Linked DNA regions of Drosophila melanogaster. The protein of the gene in region 3 interacts with the protein of the main gene of each other region in a pairwise test. Each region holds a gene or a part of one and is shown on either strand. Other genes may lie near its edges.

Region 1 (9,058 bases), on a different chromosome or scaffold from region 3:
TGGATTGGGTCGATCATTAACTTCACACTATCTATGGCCTGTACGTGCCTGCTGTTTTGTACGGTGGCTACCGATTGGAATTTACATGATGATGATGGCGGTGATCAGCCACGGATCTTGGACACACATCGCAAGGCCCGCATGACGCATAAATTTCGGCTGCTTACAGCCGATCGCCAATCCAGCCAGATGAGGTACACAAAAAACTACACCAGCTAATGGGTTCACGGCATTCCGGTGGCGCATGCGAGAGGAGCAAGAAGAGCGGTGGGGAGCGGAGAGAAGAGGAGGAGCGGAGTTTCGGCCAGGTTCACATTCACAGCCAGGTTGTGGCCAACGTCCAACGTCATCGGCAATATGTTGACGATGCTGCTACCTCGGCTACGCTGCGCCTTCTACCTGGCTTACGCAGCGAGAGAGCCAGGCATCTTTTACCATCCAACCTCCAGCTCCAGAACAAGCCGAAGAAGCCGTTTTGCTGTTAACGAGGCCTAAACGGCTTCGCTCTGGCTCAGGTGAAATTCAAAATGAGAAAGAGCGATAGGGAGAGAGAGAGAGAGAGAGAGAGAGAGAGGGATTCCCAGAGAGATTCTCCATTTTGGAACCGGAACCAGTAGAGAAGCAATGGTGCTATGGTAGAGACCTCGGAGAACAAGATCTATGGGTATCGGTCTCTGGGGAATGGTATGTTTGGTTCTCTGGCCATATAGAGATATATAGGTTTGTGTGGGGTTCGAGCCACCTCTGTTACGCCGGGAGCCGTGGCTCTGAGTTGACGTGACCAAATGAAGCACTGCGACTCGAAAATGTATCTCATGGATACGAATATGAGAGGAGCGCGTGCGCGGCTGCGTGGACCCGCAAAAATACAAACGGTAGCCCTGCTGGTAATGAACACTTTAAGTCGCTTTTAATTAAGTGCCTGACCCAAAGCTCAACAGGTGAAGGTAAAGGGAAGCAGCCAAATGTATTACCCAAAAATGCCAACCGCTGCTTTGCTTATCTGAACAAATTATTTTTTAATTAAGCCTCGCCTAAAGTGTTGGAAATCTATGAAGATATGACACAACAAAAAAAAAAAGGCTGAGGAGAAACGAGAAGACACAACAAGATGGAGAACCAGACGATACAGAAAAATTTAATTATTTACACTTCGATAAGCAGGGCTGTCAACCACAAACAAAAGCAATAGCGACAACGCGTTCGATGGCATTGTATCTATGGGTTTGGTCTCACCAGCGGCCCAGATACACGGCGTATCACAATCACACATGCCATATATTTCGTATTTAATGTCTTTATAAAAGGTGTAGCTGGCAGATACATTTCTGGCGAGAGGCGACAGGCCACAGGCAAGAGGCCAGGCCAGGGAGCATTGGGATAAGGGCATGGTAACCCGGCATCGGGAACCCTCAATAAACAAACAGTGCAACGCGCAGGGAGGCGAAGTGGAGCGCAGTGGTTCAGGACATGGAAACAGCAGCACCACCAGCAGCAGCAGCCATTTCGAAATGCCATTTCATTATGGCCAAGACCAAAGAACGCGGCGGGCCAAAGCCACCGAGCTGAGTCATTCCATCGGGCCAAGGAGTTGCAGGTTTCGGACTTGGAACTTGAAACTCGAAGGGGGGAGAATTTGGAGCCCAGATCCCAGGGAAATGGGAGGAATGCCTGGCAACAAGTTTGGCGTTGCTTGTCTAGCTCTCAGCATGCAAATGGATCTTCATTTCGGAACCCTATACACTGAGATCGCATCTGTGTGCGATCGGCCACGACGTGTATATGGGCCTGGAATATGACGACGAATAGTTCCTTAGACCCACTTGGCGGACCCTTCAGAGCGGCGTCTGTGCTGTCAGAGGACTCGCTGGATGTGGAAACAGCGATAAATTAAACGAACAGGCAGCTCCAAGTTCCGAGGAATTAATTGGAATGCACTTGGGGTCCACCTCATTAATTTTACTTACTTGAGTTTGGATTCGAGGTCCTATTAATTTAGAGGTGATTGATAGAAGGATAAATAATTGCATGGGCTAGCGATTGCATAAGAACTAAAAGTACGTATTATAGACTTCAAGTTTTCCAGTGCAGTATTGTTAAAGTTTAATAAACTTGTAGTACTAAATTCAATAAAAAGACTTTAAAATGCAATAAATTTTAAAATTGAATACTATACGTAATAAAATCACTTAAATAAGGAGAGAGACTTTGAGCAAACTCTTAGTACATCTACAGTTTTGTTTTCTTGAACTCTGCCCAAGTCTTAAATATATCTTTTGTTCTTAAACTCTTTTATTGGATGTTCCAGTTGTGGCCCATTGTGTTCCTAAATCTTTGTTTGCCCTTCGTCGACTTGAACTGCGACTGTTTAAGCTACCCTAACATACTCTAAAACCCAAATCTAGCTGATTAAGTTGTACGTCCCCCCTTCATCCAGAGACCAAACTAATCAATGGATTTACAGATTTCAAATCCAGATGTTATTGGGCCTCGTTCAAGTCGGTTCAAGATCGAGGGAAAATCTGAGAATCAAGCCATTTGAGCGAGAACTACCTAAGCGACCTGAGGTGGTTGGGTGGGTCCTCTGCACCTCGGCACCAAATACTTCTACAGGTAACAACACCGGGTCTCTCGGCTCAGGTAAGAGGCAATGCGCGAATGCAGCTTGAGCGTATTTACGAACTCGGAGCGGGAACCAGCTGGGATCGCTGGTTCCGCCGGAGAGGGAAAACCACCCAGATCGCAAGAGCGACTCTCTCGCGGCTCGGGAGGCATATATACAATGGATCGTTCTGTTTCGAGCTCGGGGACTTGGTTTTCAGTAGGTTTTTGAACGCCGCTGAGAGCAGCTGCACATTTTCGAGATACGGATACGGGTATGGGCACCATTGACTTGTCTGAAATCACAGCTCAGCACCACTGAGCAACCACCAAGCTGCACGCACACCACCATCGAATGCAGTTGCGAGTGCAATTCCAGCTGAGTCTGTCTGTGTCTGAGTGTATCTGTGTGTTTGTACTTGTGTATAATAGAAATCTCGCATTTGCAACAAAGTTAAAAACAAACAAAAAACAACTAAAAAACCAGCCAGAAATTATAAATACTGGGAGCGAAAACCCGTTTCCGAAGTGTCAAAGTGGCAGCAATAAATTTAAATGCGAGCGGAGAGCTCTGAAAAGCGGAGCTACTTCGACTCCAGCAGGAGCAAAAGAATCACTTAAGTGTGCGAAGGGGTCGTCGCAGTTCGGTTCTGGCCAACTGGCAGGTTGCTGTTGCCAATCTTGGTAGCAACACCTTCAGGAAAAAAGGAGAAAAAAAATGACACACCAAGGAAAACGACACAAAATGAGAGAGAACAGTGGCAACAACCGATCGGATCCGATCGCGACCGCTCAGCTCCGCTCCCAAAAAGAAAATACCTTAAAACCAGTTTCTTTTTTTGTCTTTTTCGAAAAAAAAAAGAGGGAAAAAAGAGTTATTGAAAGAAAAAAGGCCAGAATTGAAGTTGGGCCGAAATGAAGTGCTCTCCGCGTATCTGTGTGAGTGCCGTTCGTGGCGTTGTGTGCGTGGTAAGATTGAATGTTCAGTGCAGAAGCTGATGCATTTAAAAGGAGTAGCTGCCGTTGCGCAGATACAGATACTTTGCGACTTTAATTGCCGCTCGTATGCGTGCGACAGAGACGACTCTATGCGCCCTGCGTGCGGCGCAGTGTTGCTGTGTGCGTTTCGCTCTCGGAGTTACGGATTCCGATTCGGATTCGGAGTTATATACGATGCGATCTGTCGTGCCGAAATGAAATACAGCCAAAACACACACAATAGCCCGAAACACCAAAAAAAAAAAATTTGCATATAAACAAAAGAGCCGAGAAGAAAGCCAAGCAGAACCTGATCCACGGCGAGCCGAAATCCAAAAACCCAACTCGAAACCCAAAAAGCACCGACAAAAGACCAAAAAGTGGGAAAAGAAAACAAAACCCCTTTTGGGCATGGGGACAAAGTGAAATTTATGCGTGGGTTGACAAAAAGCTGTACCGGTTCTGAGAGCCGAGTTCTTGAGATGAACTTGTTCGCTATCTAGTACTTTTGGGGACAGCCCGGGGTTACCAGGCAAGGGCAGGGCATTCAACCTGGACCTGGAGCTTAGCGCAGATTAGATTAGATTGCACAACATACTCGCATTATTCAGTTAGAGAGAGAAATAGCTATGCTCCCGACAAACAATTCCGGCACTGCCCAAGCACTTACCTAATTGTAAGTGCGGCTTGTCGACGATAACGCCGAGAGACCCAGACAACCGATGGAATGGTTCGGTATGCTATATAGTATGGCATGGGAACATGGACTGGTACTGGAGCTCAGATTGGGAGTAGTGGGGAGGAAGTATGGTCGTGTATGGGTGGGTAAAGGGTGGTGAAATAATTTGGAATATGTCATGTCTGTCCTAGATAACGCACAAGGCAAACACACAGAACGCAATCAAGTGTGGCAAAAGAAATGAGGCAGATTGCAATGCACTCCACAATCAAGATAACTTGCTCCCAATCCAATGTCCAATAACAAAAGAAAAGTAAAACAGATTCGAATCAATAAACCGCATTGTTAATAATTGAGCGTAATTAGGAACTCTATGCCCATTTCTCACAGTGTCCCGCTGCTCAACTCGTTAATGCTCTCTTCTCCACTTGCAGTTAGCTTCGTTGCAGCAGCACACCAACCATCAACATGGCGGTCTTTGGCATGGTCTCGGCTGTGTCCGGCTTTATCAAGATACGCTATCTGCTGGACAAGGCGGTCATCGACAACATGGTTTTCCGCTGCCACTACAGGATCACGACGGCCATTCTGTTCACTTGTTGCATCATCGTCACCGCAAACAATCTGATCGGTAAGTTAGCACCTACTGAAAATTAGTGCAGCTATGCAAGTGTTTAGCACTTGAGTAGCCCAGTTTGTCAGTTTGCTTTTGCAATTGCTGCAATGCTGCTAATGCAGCACTAAATTCCAAGAAATACGATTCGACCCATTTGAATTTGAGCTCTTCGGAACGGAGGCATAAACGCGTGCAGAGCTTTCACAAATTGACCGCAACACGTTGATCGGATTTCAGCTAAAGCCATTTATTCGAATGACTCATTCCTCGGTCCCCACGGGTGGTGGTGGTGCTAGCCTGTGCCTCGCCAGAAATTGGCGTGAAAATCAATGTATATGGCTCAAGCTGGGCTCAGTGAATGGTGTCTTACATAATGGTACTTGTTATTAATATGATTTTACATTCCCACGCACTTTTAAGCGAGCTTTGTATTAAACTCGAAGCAATTATCTCTCTTCATTCGAAAAAGGGTGATAAGAAAAAGGCCTTGAATAAACAAATGATTAGCGTTATTAAAAATCAGAACTAGTAGACTAAGCACATTTCCAACAAATGGTTTTTAAACAACAAGGCAATTTAATTATGCTCAATCGTTTTTATTTTTTGTCATTGAAAACTTGCTGACTTTAAAACCCATTTTACGAGATTTTTATCTGATCTAGGCATCGCAAAGCCATCGCAGCTTCAATCCAAATATTTGTACATTAAAAGAAGTGCTCCAAAAGTGAACAACTGACAAAACCACAGTCAAATATTGACGGTTGGTTCTGGGAATTCCCCATCCAGCCCGCTCCACCTTCGTCTGCAGCTCCATTTGTATCCACTTTGTTTATCCAAAAGGGGGAGGAGTTATAGTAGGAACACGGGGGAGTCATAGTGAACGATAAAGTTGGGGCGCACCCAAAAAAAAAAGGCTGTCTATCTGTCCGTCCGTCCGTTCGTCCATCCAGCCGAATGTTGCAGGTTTACCTAGGCACGTCTGCAGCCATAATAAATGTAACCGTAGCATAGTCGTTACCGCACCCACAGCGTCGACAAATTGGGACCGTGGAGCCAGCTCCACCAGACCACCAGAGATTGCCCTAATGGCACTTGACGTTGACGAACGGCTGGCGAGAAGGTTTCTGGCGAGGAATGCGCTTGCGTTTCCCTTGATCTGAATTGCGACGAGGTCGAGTGCATATCTAAAAAATTATCTCTATCTCTGCGCTTGCAGGCGATCCCATAAGTTGCATCAACGACGGCGCCATTCCGATGCACGTAATCAACACCTTCTGCTGGATCACCTACACGTACACGATACCTGGCCAGCAGCATCGGCAAATCGGAACGGACGTGGCTGGTCCGGGATTGGGCAATGAGTACGGCCAGGAGAAGCGCTATCACAGCTACTATCAATGGGTGCCATTCGTGCTATTCTTCCAGGTGAGTGACGCTCGAAGTAATATATGTACGCAGTACTTAGGAAAGATTTACAATTTGAATTGTTTACATCGCTGTGGATTTATTTTGAAATCCATAGGAGTAGTACTTAATTGAATAATTTACCCCACGCTTTCTCAATTTACATGATGATGAGCAATCTTGCAATACGAAAAGTTCCATCTTGTCTGTAGATTAAGTGAACTTAATTGAAGTCTTAGTATGACTGTGGCCTATCACATGCTGTTCGCTTTAAACGTGACAAATGTGGTTTCATTAATTTATTGTAATTCCCGCTTCCGACCAAACTAATCTGTAAATTATTTCAGGGGCTCATGTTCTACGTGCCCCACTGGGTTTGGAAGAACATGGAAGACGGCAAGATCCGCATGATCACCGATGGACTGCGCGGCATGGTCAGTGTGCCGGATGACTATCGGCGTGATCGCCAGGACCGGATCCTCAAGTATTTCGTGAACAGTTTGAACACCCACAACGGCTACTCGTTCGCATACTTTTTCTGCGAACTGCTTAACTTTATCAACGTGATTGTGAATATCTTTATGGTGGATAAGTTTCTGGGCGGTGCTTTCATGTCCTACGGTACGGATGTGCTCAAGTTCTCCAACATGGATCAGGACAAGCGCTTCGATCCGATGATCGAGATCTTTCCCCGGCTCACCAAGTGCACGTTCCACAAGTTCGGTCCCAGTGGATCGGTCCAGAAACACGACACTCTCTGTGTGCTGGCACTGAATATCCTCAACGAGAAGATCTACATCTTCCTGTGGTAAGTAGTTGAGTGGGTTCTTACTCTTTGAGGGAATCTTTAACCTTTATTACTTTTCATAGGTTCTGGTTTATCATCTTGGCCACCATCTCCGGCGTGGCTGTGCTCTATTCACTGGTGGTTATCATGATGCCCACCACTCGGGAGACCATCATCAAGCGTTCTTATCGCTCGGCACAACGGAAGGAAATCGCCGGACTGGTTAGGCGTTTGGAGGTGGGTGCTCAACTAGAATACCATCCATACCTATTGTATATTAATCCGTTTTTGGTTTTTCTCAACAGATTGGTGACTTCCTGATCTTGCACTTCCTGAGCCAGAACCTCAGCACAAGATCGTACAGTGACATGCTGCAGCAGCTCTGCGGTCTGCTAGGAGCATCCCGAACACCATCCGCACCATCGACCCTTGAAATGAACCGCATCAGCCATCCGATTTATCCGCCCGTGGAGACCTTCGGCGGTGGCAAGGAGACGGAGACATGAGCCCGTGGCCAGGGTTTGGCTTCAAAACAATGATTTCAATGATTTCTCAATAATATTTGTAGGGGGGAGATAGAGAGAGTTGTGTGTCATGAGGTTAGGCATTTCCATTTCTACCACTAAGACTGCAAGAGAACGAATCAGCAATTGCACTTTCGGAGATCCAACTCAGTAATGTTCTGTGCGAAATATATTTAGCAAAATTATAAGGAAACAATCTTTGAATATGGTCCTAGGCAGGCGAAAGACAGGTGCAGTTCGTCATTGACACGAGGTGAGCCACAGAGTGAGAAGATACAAATAAAAAATAAATCAAATAAAAATGTGAAAAAAAAAATATCATAAAAAACGAGAGGGACACAGGCAGACCGTGCAATTTGTAGGTTGAAGATGATGATTGAACGACGATCGAGGATATCCCATATAACGATTTTGCTACTTGGTATCGTAGTTAGGTCGTTGACAATGATGCGCCATTTAAAATATACACATAAGTTTAGCAGTTAGCTCGATAGTGGACAGATGGATAGTTCGGATCGAGGAATACCTATGCAGCTATATATCTGCTTACCGCTCACGCACGCTCACGAAACGTTGATCTATATAAAATTGTAGTAATCGAATGGTACGAATACGACGAGGAATATGATTATGAATATTTAAACGAGTATACACAATGCTCTCGCTATTTTTGTCCTAACATTTAGTCTACAGATATATCGTAATTTTAAGCAATTTTGTTTATAACAAAATTATTGTGATTATTGCTAGAAAAGAACACATTTTACATAAAGCAAAAGAGAACCCAAGCTATCTAAGTTCAAAGTTGTAATAAATATTCTACATACAATTTCAGCTAAACCCAGGACTTATCAGTGGGCGGGAAGCGATTGTGGTTTTGGATTTCTCAATTGCTAAGGTCGGATTTTCCATTGTTTATGAAAAAAGCTGTGATTTTGAACTAGAGTACTACGCATTAGTTGAGAGTACTTATAAACAAGGGAAACCTTCAAGAACAACTTTAAGTTTTTTACATGAAACGCGAATCCATGAAAGTCTATCTTCAATAAGCTACGGATGTTTTCATTAGCTTCCAATATCCCTATATCAATATCCAATATCTGATCACTTACCGATTGCCCCAATCTATCTTTGAAACCACAACCATCTGAAGCTCCAGAGTTTGATCCTGAGTCATGGTGGCACTAAGGAGTTCCCTCCGACTTTCCAATATGGAAAACATAACTTTGCGCAGGGTTTGGAACTTATACGCTTCGCGATCCTGAAAAAGATTAGGAATATTTTATCAAATAAAGCAAGTAGATCGAGTTATAACCACTTACCACATAGAGACGCTTCCAGATCTCCGACCATTCGCGCAGGACCTGCGTGCATTCGGCGACCACAGGATCGATTTTCGAGAGGTCCTTGATGTGTATGTAGGTCTTGGGGAAGAGACCCACTGCCCGCGACTTTCGGGGGCAGGAGCC
Region 2 (5,785 bases), on a different chromosome or scaffold from region 3:
GGTGCTCGCCACGAACATCTGTTGCTACTGCACCGCAACAGCTTATCTCTGGACAGCCTACGTTGGTCCCTACATATCGAGTCCAGATTTGCATTCCAAAAATAGCGTTAGATTCGGTTCTTTGTCTGCAATTTCTGCACAAGTTTCAATCGCTTTGAATTTTAATTATTTATATGTATATAATATAGAGATATTACCAATCATATACATATTACGAACTAAAGTTAAGCATTGGCAGGCATTATTTTGAGAAAAGTGTGTACAACGTGGCGTATGAGCAATGTCATAACTTTGACCATTTGGCTACCACTCTATTCCGTTTTTAAAAAAGTTTTAAATTCCATATACATAACGAATTTATCAAGCAAACTTGTCTGCTGCTAAGAGCCTTAACTAGAAGTCATTAAATATCGCTTTAATTTATATATTTATATGTAGATGCAGATGAATTTCATACGTTTGTTGCATGCTTTTAGGCATTCGAACAAAATCATAATCTGTAATAATAGATTCTGTATCTAAGTTGGAAAATTGTATATGCCATGCTTATAAAACAGTAAACAAACTATTCATTTTCAGTTAATAAAACTTAACTTTATTCTGAAACAACGAATTTTTTTTTGTAACGATGCTGAATAAAATTTCAACAATTGCTTGCAATAACATTTTATTACAAAGCCAAAATATATATATAAATATCCCCATCCATATTATTCCTCAATTAAAACACATTAAAACTTTGATCGTTAGTTTAGCCATTTTATTTACTACTAATATCACTCAGTGTATATACATAGATTCGTTTGTGTCTTTGCTCGGGATTTGTGTGTGTGTTTGTTTTTTTTGTGTGTGTGTGTGCGTGTTTTTGTGTAGGCTAGATATATAACATATATCAGTGTATAATATCATATAAAATTGTGCTCCGTGTATAACACTAAAAAATGATAAAAAAAAATTTCGCTAGCTCTGTTTTACTCTTCATTTGCCTGTTGGAGTTGCACTTAAAAACTAAATACTTGCAGCTGGGGGGAAAATCGAGGATCGGGAATCGGGAATCGGGAATCAGGAATCGGGAATCGGGTGGGGCATAAATCTTGCGGGAGAAGGGTGTTGGATAAGGGTATATCTAAATAATAATCGCCTTATGCGGTGGGCAGATACAGACGAGATGGCGTCGCCAGGGGCACCTGAGGTGGCTGATAATCGTAGCCATTGCCGTTGCCATTTCCGTATCCGTTTCCAACTCCATTTCCATTTCCGTATGCGTTTCCAGCTCCATTTCCTTGTCCGTTTCCAACTCCATTTCCGTATCCGTTGCCAACTCCATTTCCGTATCCGTTTCCAACTCCATTACCGTAAGCATTGCCATTTCCATAGGGAGACGTGTAGCTATAGTCATCGCCACTCTGTCCACTGCCCCTCAGAGGACCTTGCGATCCTTGATCGGAGTCCAGGGTCTGCTGCAGGAACTGGAAACGGTTCTTGTTGCCCAACAGGCTGCTGGGATCCACGGTCTGGCGCTGTCCGGCAGAAGCCAAAGGCTGGGGTCTAAAATATATAAATATAAAATAAGTTTTTTATATTCATTATATCATTTGCAATAATAGTGTATGAAACTTCTGATTTGTACGCAAATGTGCTAGTTTGAAGAAGTTCTTAAACGTTTTTTTTGTAAAGTGTATTGGTTACTCACTCGGGAATGTCCAGATCCAGCTCGGTGATGGGATGATAGCCGAACTCATCGGCGGTGTAACGGGTCTTGTACCGCTTGCCATCGGCGCCGGTGAACGAGTAGGAGCCGCTGACCACGAAGGTCTTGTCGTCCTTCAGTTTGCCCACGCTGCTCACTTCGATGCCGTTCTGGGTCTTCAGTCTGAAAAAAAAGTTCATTTTAACTTTAGTAATGCTTCGTAAATTATTTAAAAAAATATATCAAATTACTTGATGCTTTGTAAATTATTTAAAAAAATATATCAAATTACTTGAATTTATTTGCTATGCATCAAAAGTTATTACAGATCTATAAACCTATGTTAAAGTAGTTTTCTTTTAGACTGCGATTCAACTTCATATATAAATATATAATTATGTTTTAATTTAGCCAAACACTATCACTTTATGAACTATATAGGTACCATAGATACTCACTCCAGCTTGAATTTCTTGCCCGAGTTGTAGTTCTGGAGGGTTTCGGTCTTGGCCTTCATGACATCGCCGCTAAAGTGCACCGCCGGCTTGTCGTCATCGATGTCCTCGGGCAGGGTGTAGATATCGCTGGGATTGTACTTGAAGAGGTCCAGATTGCGATCTGTCAGATGCTTGACATCGGCAGCGGCCAGAGCAGCGAAACCCAGAAGGATCAGCTAAAAGATAGAATGCCTGGTTAGTGCCACTTGTCACACGATGCATTAGTCATATCTGTGGATCACAGTCGTTACGATTTATTTTTTTCGCATTCGGATTTGGATACGGATTTTGATTTGGATTTGAATTGGGATTCGTATTTTGCATTTCGCATTAACGGGCAATTAATCAAAGTCGCGCGCGAATCGCTGGCGTTTCTGACCGCACAGCGTCGCTTTGTCTCGCAATTCTCTCGTTTATTTATTTTTTTTTTCGTTTTTTTTTTAGTCTTTTTAATTTTTTTTATCTATATTTGCTGTGATTTATTTGATTTGGTTTCGGGCCGAGGCACTAATCATAATGGGTTCCAACCGTTTCGATATTTGTCATTCGTCTGTTTTGACGTCGATGAGCTATGCGGCTGCTCAAGGTGATATTCAAACACTTTAGGTTTCGGACTTTCCTTAAAGTGTGGGTCATTAGTTCTTTAATTTGGCATACTAATTCTTAGGTAAAGCTTAAAAAAAACTAAAAAGCAGCCTCGCAGGAACTTCGGTTAAATTGATTTTAATGTGTATCTTTTGTTTGAGATTCAAAATAAGCTTTAAAGTCATTTCTGTGGCTTAAAAGTATTCACACTTTTGAAGGACATTTTTTGCGCGCACTTTCACTTGATCCTTTTTTTTATTGAGACACCACAAAAAAAAAAATAACTCATTAAATATATACTTTTCAGTACTTTCGGGCACTTACAAAACTCTTCATTTTTATGTGTGTTTTTTTTTTCGTAACGAGGACTAATTTATGTTTTTTTTTTTTTATTGTAGCGGCTCGGTTAGTTCCGATGCTCACAGATTCTAGCAAATAAATACAAACGATGCGACTTCTTGTTTCCTTATATATGGTATTATCAGCGACGCCGGCAGCGAAGTCGACAGAAATAGGAACCGGACAACGAACTGAGCCTCTGTCGGCGTCGCAGCCGCTTAGAATCAAAAAAAGCCAAAGTTTGTCAACGCTGAAATCGGTATGGTATATATGCATATATATATATATATATATATGTGTGTGTATGTGTGTGAGGAAGGGGATTAGCCCAGATGAGGGGCATCATCCATCGGTGAATCTTCAGCATCCAGAAGATGTAACATTTTACGGGTCTTCTGGACAATTCTCCCTTCTCGGTATCTCCGTTGCTGACGGAGACTGATCGCAGATCGAAAAGCATAGAAATCTGGTTTTCGTGGCAACAAAATTAGAAAACCGCCATCATCAAATTAGCATACACGTTTAATGATGATTCTCTTCCCTGAGTGTGTGTGTGTGTGTGTGGTGTGTGTGTCTGTGTGAGTGTGTGCATGTGCGTAAATTTAAATCTGCGTTAATTTTTTATAAAGCATGGAATATATATATATATATATATATACTAACTATATATATACTATACTAACTTGGGCGACCAGTTTATTTTAGCGGACACCCAAGTTCCAAGTTCCGAAAGTGCCGCTGAATGGAACCCGCAAATCTTTCATCCGTTTCTTCAGCGGAAAGAGGCGATGATGATTCTTCACCACTGATAAGATGCCCCATTCTCATTCTTCGGTTTCATATGCTAATATGCATATCAGTCAGCCTTCGCTTAATTAGCCGTTTCGTTTTCGGTCTTATCAAAATTTATCAAATGCGATTCTTCTGGCGGATCAGTGTCTGTCTTGGTGTCTTCGGTGCTTGGTGTCTTGGGATCTTCTTAAGAGATCGTGAGATCTTGGGCTCAAAAATGCCATTTAACCATTTCGGACCGCACAGGGTCATCGGATTTTCGCTTTCGGTAGCTTTTCAGCGTTTTGTATTTCCATCATTTGCATAGTTATTGGTTACACTAATGGCTCCATTTATGAAACTCTTTGTTTGGTCTTCTAAATCTTCCGAATTTACTTGTAAATTGCATTATTGTTATTTGATTGATGGTTCATGTTTGTATTGGGTTCTCAGAGCGCTTGCCTTGAATTCTAGTTATCTTAAGATAGTTATTCATATTCCATTTTTAAGGCCCCATAAAAATGTAATGTTCAAAATTTACCTTTTTTTAAACTAGTTCTCGATTAATTAATATTTATTTCCTTTTTGCCAATTTTAGAGCTCTAAAAGTAAACAGTTTATACAAATCCTGATATATGACAATATGGCTTATCAAACTGTTTTGAAAAATACAATGACACACATATACACCCAAAATTCAAGGTATAACGAAAATATTGTATATTTTAAAATGTTAATATTATAGACATATTCTTTCGATTTTCTGTTTGCTAAACCTGGCTTGCATTTGAACATATATATATCTATTATTTTTGAACTATTTTTTGGCCAACTTATAGATATTATACATTTATTCCTGGATTGGCGGGTTTTGCAAACATATTTTGATTGAACACTGCATTTATGGCTGTCAGCAATCAAGTCTATCACATTTTGTCTACCCAACGCGTGGATGAGATTGAAATCAAACCGGACCGGACACGCAGCTCTAATGATAATCGCTAATGGTGCTTCTAATTTAAGTTTTATGCTTAATAACTTAAACGAATGCCGCACGGCATTCATTTTTCATTCGAAAAGAAGTATCTCTTTTTTTTTTGGCCATTTAATTCTTCTTCTGGTTGGTTGTTTGATCTTCTTGGCCTAATGAAAACGTTTTGGCCATTTCAGCGACTTGTCAAATGTGTGATGGCTGTTAGTTAGTTAGTTCGTCTGGCTCAACCAACTGAGTTCGCCTTGGAAATTAACCTGGTGTTTCTGATGTTTGATGTCTGCTATTTCGTCCGTGTCTTTGATATCAAATCGCATTTGTTATGCATACTTGCACACGCCCCAGAGTCTTGTCTTTTGATCTGTGAGTCGATCTTGATGGCTCACTTAGAGACCAGGTCCAAGCAAACGAGTTAACAAAAAGTCAGCCCAAAAGGGAGTGTCCGTCCAATCGAACTGACTTATCATCTCGATCTATCACCCCATTAATTGTCATCGCCTTAATTCCAAGTAAAAGGCTGCAGCTGCCGTATTAATTACCATGCGATTAACGTGAATTTTTAGCTATAGATTCGGCTTTACATTTGCCATTTGCATATGTGCCGCACAGAAAAGAAAAGAAAGTGTTTCATTTTTGTATCTAATTTTTATTGCGATCTTTCGTGATTTCTTTGGCAAATTAACAGATCGAACAACTTGTTACGCAGCCCCCAGTTCCCTCGTTTCGCCGAACGCTTTGAATTTTGCCGATTTTCGGAATTGTGCCCCATTATCTGGGGTATTATGAATTTTGAACGAATTTTGAGAAGTATTTTCCATTCGATATCAATCCAAAAACAAGACAAATTATGTCATTTGCATTGAATTATTATAGCCTTAGCAAGTAAGAACTTTTTAAAGTGTTCGCTATTGT
Region 3 (4,511 bases):
TTTTTAGTTATCTACAAGCAAAGTCCTCGATTGTACCATGCCAGCTTTTTGGTCATTGTGCAAAAGCCTGGTGATACGGATCACTATCAATCAAAGAACTTGAAGGGTGTTCAACGCGTGGCAGAAACTTCTGATAAGGATGTGCTGCTCCTGACTGTCCAACCGCCTAAGAAGATAAGCTCTTCCAGGGATTTGCAGGAAGCCACAGTAACAGAGACTATTGTGCGGCGTTTTAATTACTTAACTTTTGTACAAAGCAAACAACAATAAGGAACTACTCAGGGACTCTACAACTTCTCCAGCCGGTGCTTCTTGGGTATGCCAGTGCTGCGATAGTCGGCGCGCTCCTGCAGATATATCTGCTTGCACTCCTCCTTGAAGGCTTCGTTCTGATACCACTGGGTGAGGCATTCCTTCAGGGCTGAGTTCTGTTTCCGACAGGTGGCCACCATCAGTATACTGCTGGCCTTGCAGCACTCCTGGAAGTCGGCCACCTCCTTTGAGCAGAACTCCGTCTTGGCACGATCGCGCATTATCTTGGGTATCAGCACTTCGCGCTCCACCTTGCGCAACCTAGTATCATTTGGATCGCCTAGCAAGGGCAGTGTCAGTTGGTGGTCATATTCGATTATTCTGAGGACTCACCCAGTCCATGGGGATTGTGGGGATCCACGGCTGGCTGTTGTTCAAGGCTCATATTGTGTTAAAAATACTATTTATTTTGTATAACAACTTTTAGAGTGACTGCCACCGGTGCGATGAAAAATACTAGGGATATAAAAATACCACGAGTATACTAAAATTAGATTCATTTTTAAGATATAAAATATAATTTTATAATTCGATTTCTTGAATATTGAAATTACTTAATGATCGTCTAGAACACAAAATTTGCCCGACTGATCGCTAATTCAATAATATATTTTTTTTTAAACCGATAAACCACCTTCGTGTATTAAATTAGCCAAGAATCCAGACGCATTTTATTACAAAACTGCATTTTAAATGCTTAAATCAAAACCTAACTAAGCGGCCAGGCTAGCAGCGCTGATTGGCTCCAAATCTCGCACACCATCCTTGTCCACGACGGCGACGGTGAAGTTCTTGAGGTTGACGACCAGGCGCTTCTGGATTTCGGCAATGCACTTCTTGAAGACGTCGTAGGCCTCCGCCTGGGTTATATTGGGGTGCCAGTATCGGTCATAGATGCTGGATGCGAAGATCGCACCATAGCCATGACCGGCGTAATTCACAGGCAGTGCATTGGCCAAATAGTCAATGAAGGTGAGCTCCGGACCCGCGTTGGGATCGTAGCTTTGGGGAGAAGAAACAGATTAGGCACGGAAAGCAAATGGATTGACTGATCTCATGATCCTTACCCGGCCACAAACATGAACACTTGGTAGGGCGTGCGACTGCGAAGATATTCGGCCAGATTCTTGCGAGTAAAATGAGCCGATTCACGTGGACTTAAATCGTAGCCATTGCGCATCTTGTACAACGCTATGTTCTTCGAAATGAATTCGGTAAATTGCTCCGTGTCGCCCGATTCGCCGACGGTTGAAATAAGCAGACTATCCGACACCTTGTGGATTTTGTTCTGATCTGCAATGGAAATTCAAGGAGACTAACGAAATGAGTCCCAAGCCGCCAAGAAAATGAGCACCATTTGGGCTTACCCTCTTTCATCACTATAATGGATCGGGCGTGGGTGGTGTCCGCCGCCAGCATCACGAAGTCAGGGCCCTTGATACCCAGTAGAGTCTCCATGTTGCAATTATATTTATACTTTCGGGGTTTTTTAACGAAAATTACAAGTTGTTTGTGAGTTGCCGAATGCGATGACAAGCAAGTTAAATGCAGAGTGGCCGTATGCTGGGCGGCTAAAAATACCGCTATTCTGAAAAGATACTAATAAATATAAGCTAACACATATTTATAATTTTATTTTATATTTATTATTTATCATTTTAAATTAACTTAATTATACTTAATTTTCAATTATACCTAATTGGTATGATATTCAAATCTTATAAGTTTACTTGCTTACTAAAATTAAAATTAAAATTATTTCAATGTTTCAACTTTGTCTAAATAAAAAAAAACTTTATTTTTAATAAACCCATTTTTGTTTCCTTTAATATGAATATGAATATTTACATATACATAAAAATTATGTTATATAAATTATAATTATAAATTAAATTATTAATAAAATTGAATATCTTAGTTATATATTATTTTTAATTTTAATCGCAGTTAATCAACACTTGTTGAGTGCCCGGTTATAACTTGGCCACACTGTTCCCTTGTTATCATTTCATTTCACAATTAGTTTACGGAATTCGAACTATTGAAACTAAGAGCCATGCAGGCACCACCTCCGGAACACTGTCCTGGCGTCGAGAGCGAGGAGGCGGGCAAGGGAAGTGCCTGTTCGGGCTGCCCCAACCAAGGACTCTGCAGCGATCCCAACAAGAAACTCGAAGATCCCGGCAAGGCTTTGGTGGTCGAATCCATGAAAGATGTCAAACACAAGCTGCTGATCCTGTCCGGGAAAGGCGGCGTTGGCAAGAGCACGGTAACCAGCTTGCTAACCCGCTATCTGGCCAGAAGTAATCCGGACAGTAACTTCGGCGTGCTTGATATCGACATTTGCGGTCCATCGCAACCGCGTTTGATGGGCGCCCTGGGGGAGAGTGTCCACCAGTCTGGGTACGGCTGGTCACCTGTGGGAATCGAAGACAACGTGTGTCTGATGTCCATCGGATTTCTTCTGGGCTCTGTGGACGATGCCATTATTTGGCGAGGACCCAAGAAGAATGGCATGATCAGGCAGTTTCTGAGCGAGGTGGACTGGGGAAATCTGGATCTCCTGCTACTGGACACACCACCTGGAACTTCCGATGAGCACCTGTCTGTGGTTTCGTACCTGAAAGACGACGCCAACCCGGAGTCCCTGCGCGCCGTGATGGTGACCACTCCACAGGAGGTGTCTCTGCTGGACGTGCGCAAGGAGATCAACTTTTGTAAAAAGCAAAATATCCCCATTGTGGGCGTGATCGAGAATATGAGCAGTTTCCGTTGCGGCCATTGTGGAAATAGCTCCGAAATCTTTCCAGCCAAAACCGGAGGAGCCGCTGCCATGTGCGCCGAAATGGGAATCCCGCTGTTGGGCTCCCTGCCTCTGGATCAACAGATATCCAAAGCCTGCGATTCTGGCGAGGATTTAACTGAGTTTAAGAATGTCACCACTGAGGCGCTGGAAGGAATTTGCTCAAAGATTATGGCCAGCTTTAGTTAAGAATAAGTTAAAGACCACTCAGTTTTTAAATAAAAAAAAAGATGCCTGTACAATTTTATGTAACATTTATTATTAAGCATTGAAAGGATAATACCAATTGGAAATACCGATTCACCTGAGGTCATCAAATTACGTCTCGGTCTTTACCAGAAATTAGATTACCAGGCAGTTTACAACATGCCCCTTTACAGGATAAGAAAACATTCTACAATATTGAAGTAGGTTGGAGTTAAACATTAAGTATGGCTGGGGAAGATGGCGGGCTTGCTAGGGACACATCCGTGGTTACTCTTCCCGTGGCATCTGACGGTTGAGCAGCAACCTCAGTGGCGGCCTGTTTCAGATTTTGCGCGAGTATTGTGTCCCTCACCGTACTTTCCAAGGGCGGCGCAAATGTGGTATCCCTCCCCAACTCACTAATCAAGCGGACTATTTGCTCTGACGGCGGCGATTGGCTCTTCTTCGTGGGGGTATCGTCTTGGTTCTCGGCAGCTATCGTGTTATCCCCCTCAATTGTTCCACCCACGTACTGGCTGTTAGCGACCACTGGCGACTGAGTGGGCAGCGTAGGCGGATAGTTCAGCATAGTGATGGAGTCCGTACAATCGCTGACCTTGTATATGCCCACCAGGAAGTTGGCCAGCTCAAACATGTTGACACGAAGTGAAACAATTATGAACTGAGCGTTTTTCGTACGTTCCTAAGTGAACACAACAACAATTGGCTTTAAAATGTGAATGTAAGGCAAGAAAGCAGAGAGGTATTTACCTTGATATAGTGACCCACTATAGACACATTCTTGAAATCCAGCGCCGCATCAATTTCATCCATGAAGTACAGCGGAGAGGGCTTGTAATAATGCAGGGCAAACACAAGTGCCAATGAGGAGAGAGTTTTCTCACCACCTGAGAGATTCGAGATGTATTTCCAGCTTTTCTTTGGCGGTCGCACAGTAAAATTTACGCCCTCGGTGAACGGATCCATGGAGTCCACCAGCTCCAGCTCAGCATCGCCGCCCAGTGTGATCATCTGGTACATTTCCTTCAGTTTTCTTGTTATAATGCTAAAGCCATCCATGAACTCCTTGTACCGTCGCTTGCGAACTTCTTCGTACTTGTCGCGCATCTCATTGCGCTTGGAGGTGATGTCCTCCAGCACACGGACGCGATCGAGGTAGACTAAGCGCTTCTCGTTGAACTCCTTTATG

Evidence for each region. Proteins that work in one complex are often made in the same cells at the same time.
Region 1: the proteins of Prosbeta4 (region 3) and Inx3 interact in a two-hybrid assay, tested with the Drosophila melanogaster proteins (one large-scale study listed by BioGRID).
Region 2: the proteins of Prosbeta4 (region 3) and Cpr11A interact in a two-hybrid assay, tested with the Drosophila melanogaster proteins (one large-scale study listed by BioGRID).

Annotation. Positions count from the first base shown.
Region 1 is NT_033777.3:28,852,974-28,862,031, reverse strand, and holds Inx3 (innexin 3), read left to right. Parts: upstream 1-2,817; 5' UTR 2,818-2,876; intron 2,877-4,692; 5' UTR 4,693-4,726; coding exon 4,727-4,889; intron 4,890-6,090; coding exon 6,091-6,299; intron 6,300-6,625; coding exon 6,626-7,086; intron 7,087-7,148; coding exon 7,149-7,302; intron 7,303-7,370; coding exon 7,371-7,571; 3' UTR 7,572-8,426; downstream 8,427-9,058. Other genes in the region: spg (sponge), read right to left, coding at 8,702-8,850, 8,912-9,058. UniProt on the Drosophila melanogaster protein: Structural components of the gap junctions. Essential for proper epithelial development of the epidermis.
Region 2 is NC_004354.4:12,484,405-12,490,189, reverse strand, and holds Cpr11A (cuticular protein 11A), read right to left. Parts: upstream 3,221-5,785; 5' UTR 3,109-3,220; coding exon 3,097-3,108; intron 2,364-3,096; coding exon 2,149-2,363; intron 1,874-2,148; coding exon 1,694-1,873; intron 1,549-1,693; coding exon 1,143-1,548; 3' UTR 742-1,142; downstream 1-741.
Region 3 is NT_033779.5:16,730,264-16,734,774, forward strand, and holds Prosbeta4 (proteasome beta4 subunit), read right to left. Parts: upstream 1,871-4,511; 5' UTR 1,771-1,870; coding exon 1,680-1,770; intron 1,606-1,679; coding exon 1,380-1,605; intron 1,315-1,379; coding exon 1,026-1,314; 3' UTR 917-1,025; downstream 1-916. Other genes in the region: Tsen2 (tRNA splicing endonuclease subunit 2), read left to right, coding at 8-270; CG17996 (uncharacterized protein), read right to left, coding at 288-592, 646-697; Nubp1 (NUBP iron-sulfur cluster assembly factor 1), read left to right, coding at 2,369-3,304; glu (gluon), read right to left, coding at 3,534-4,004, 4,073-4,511.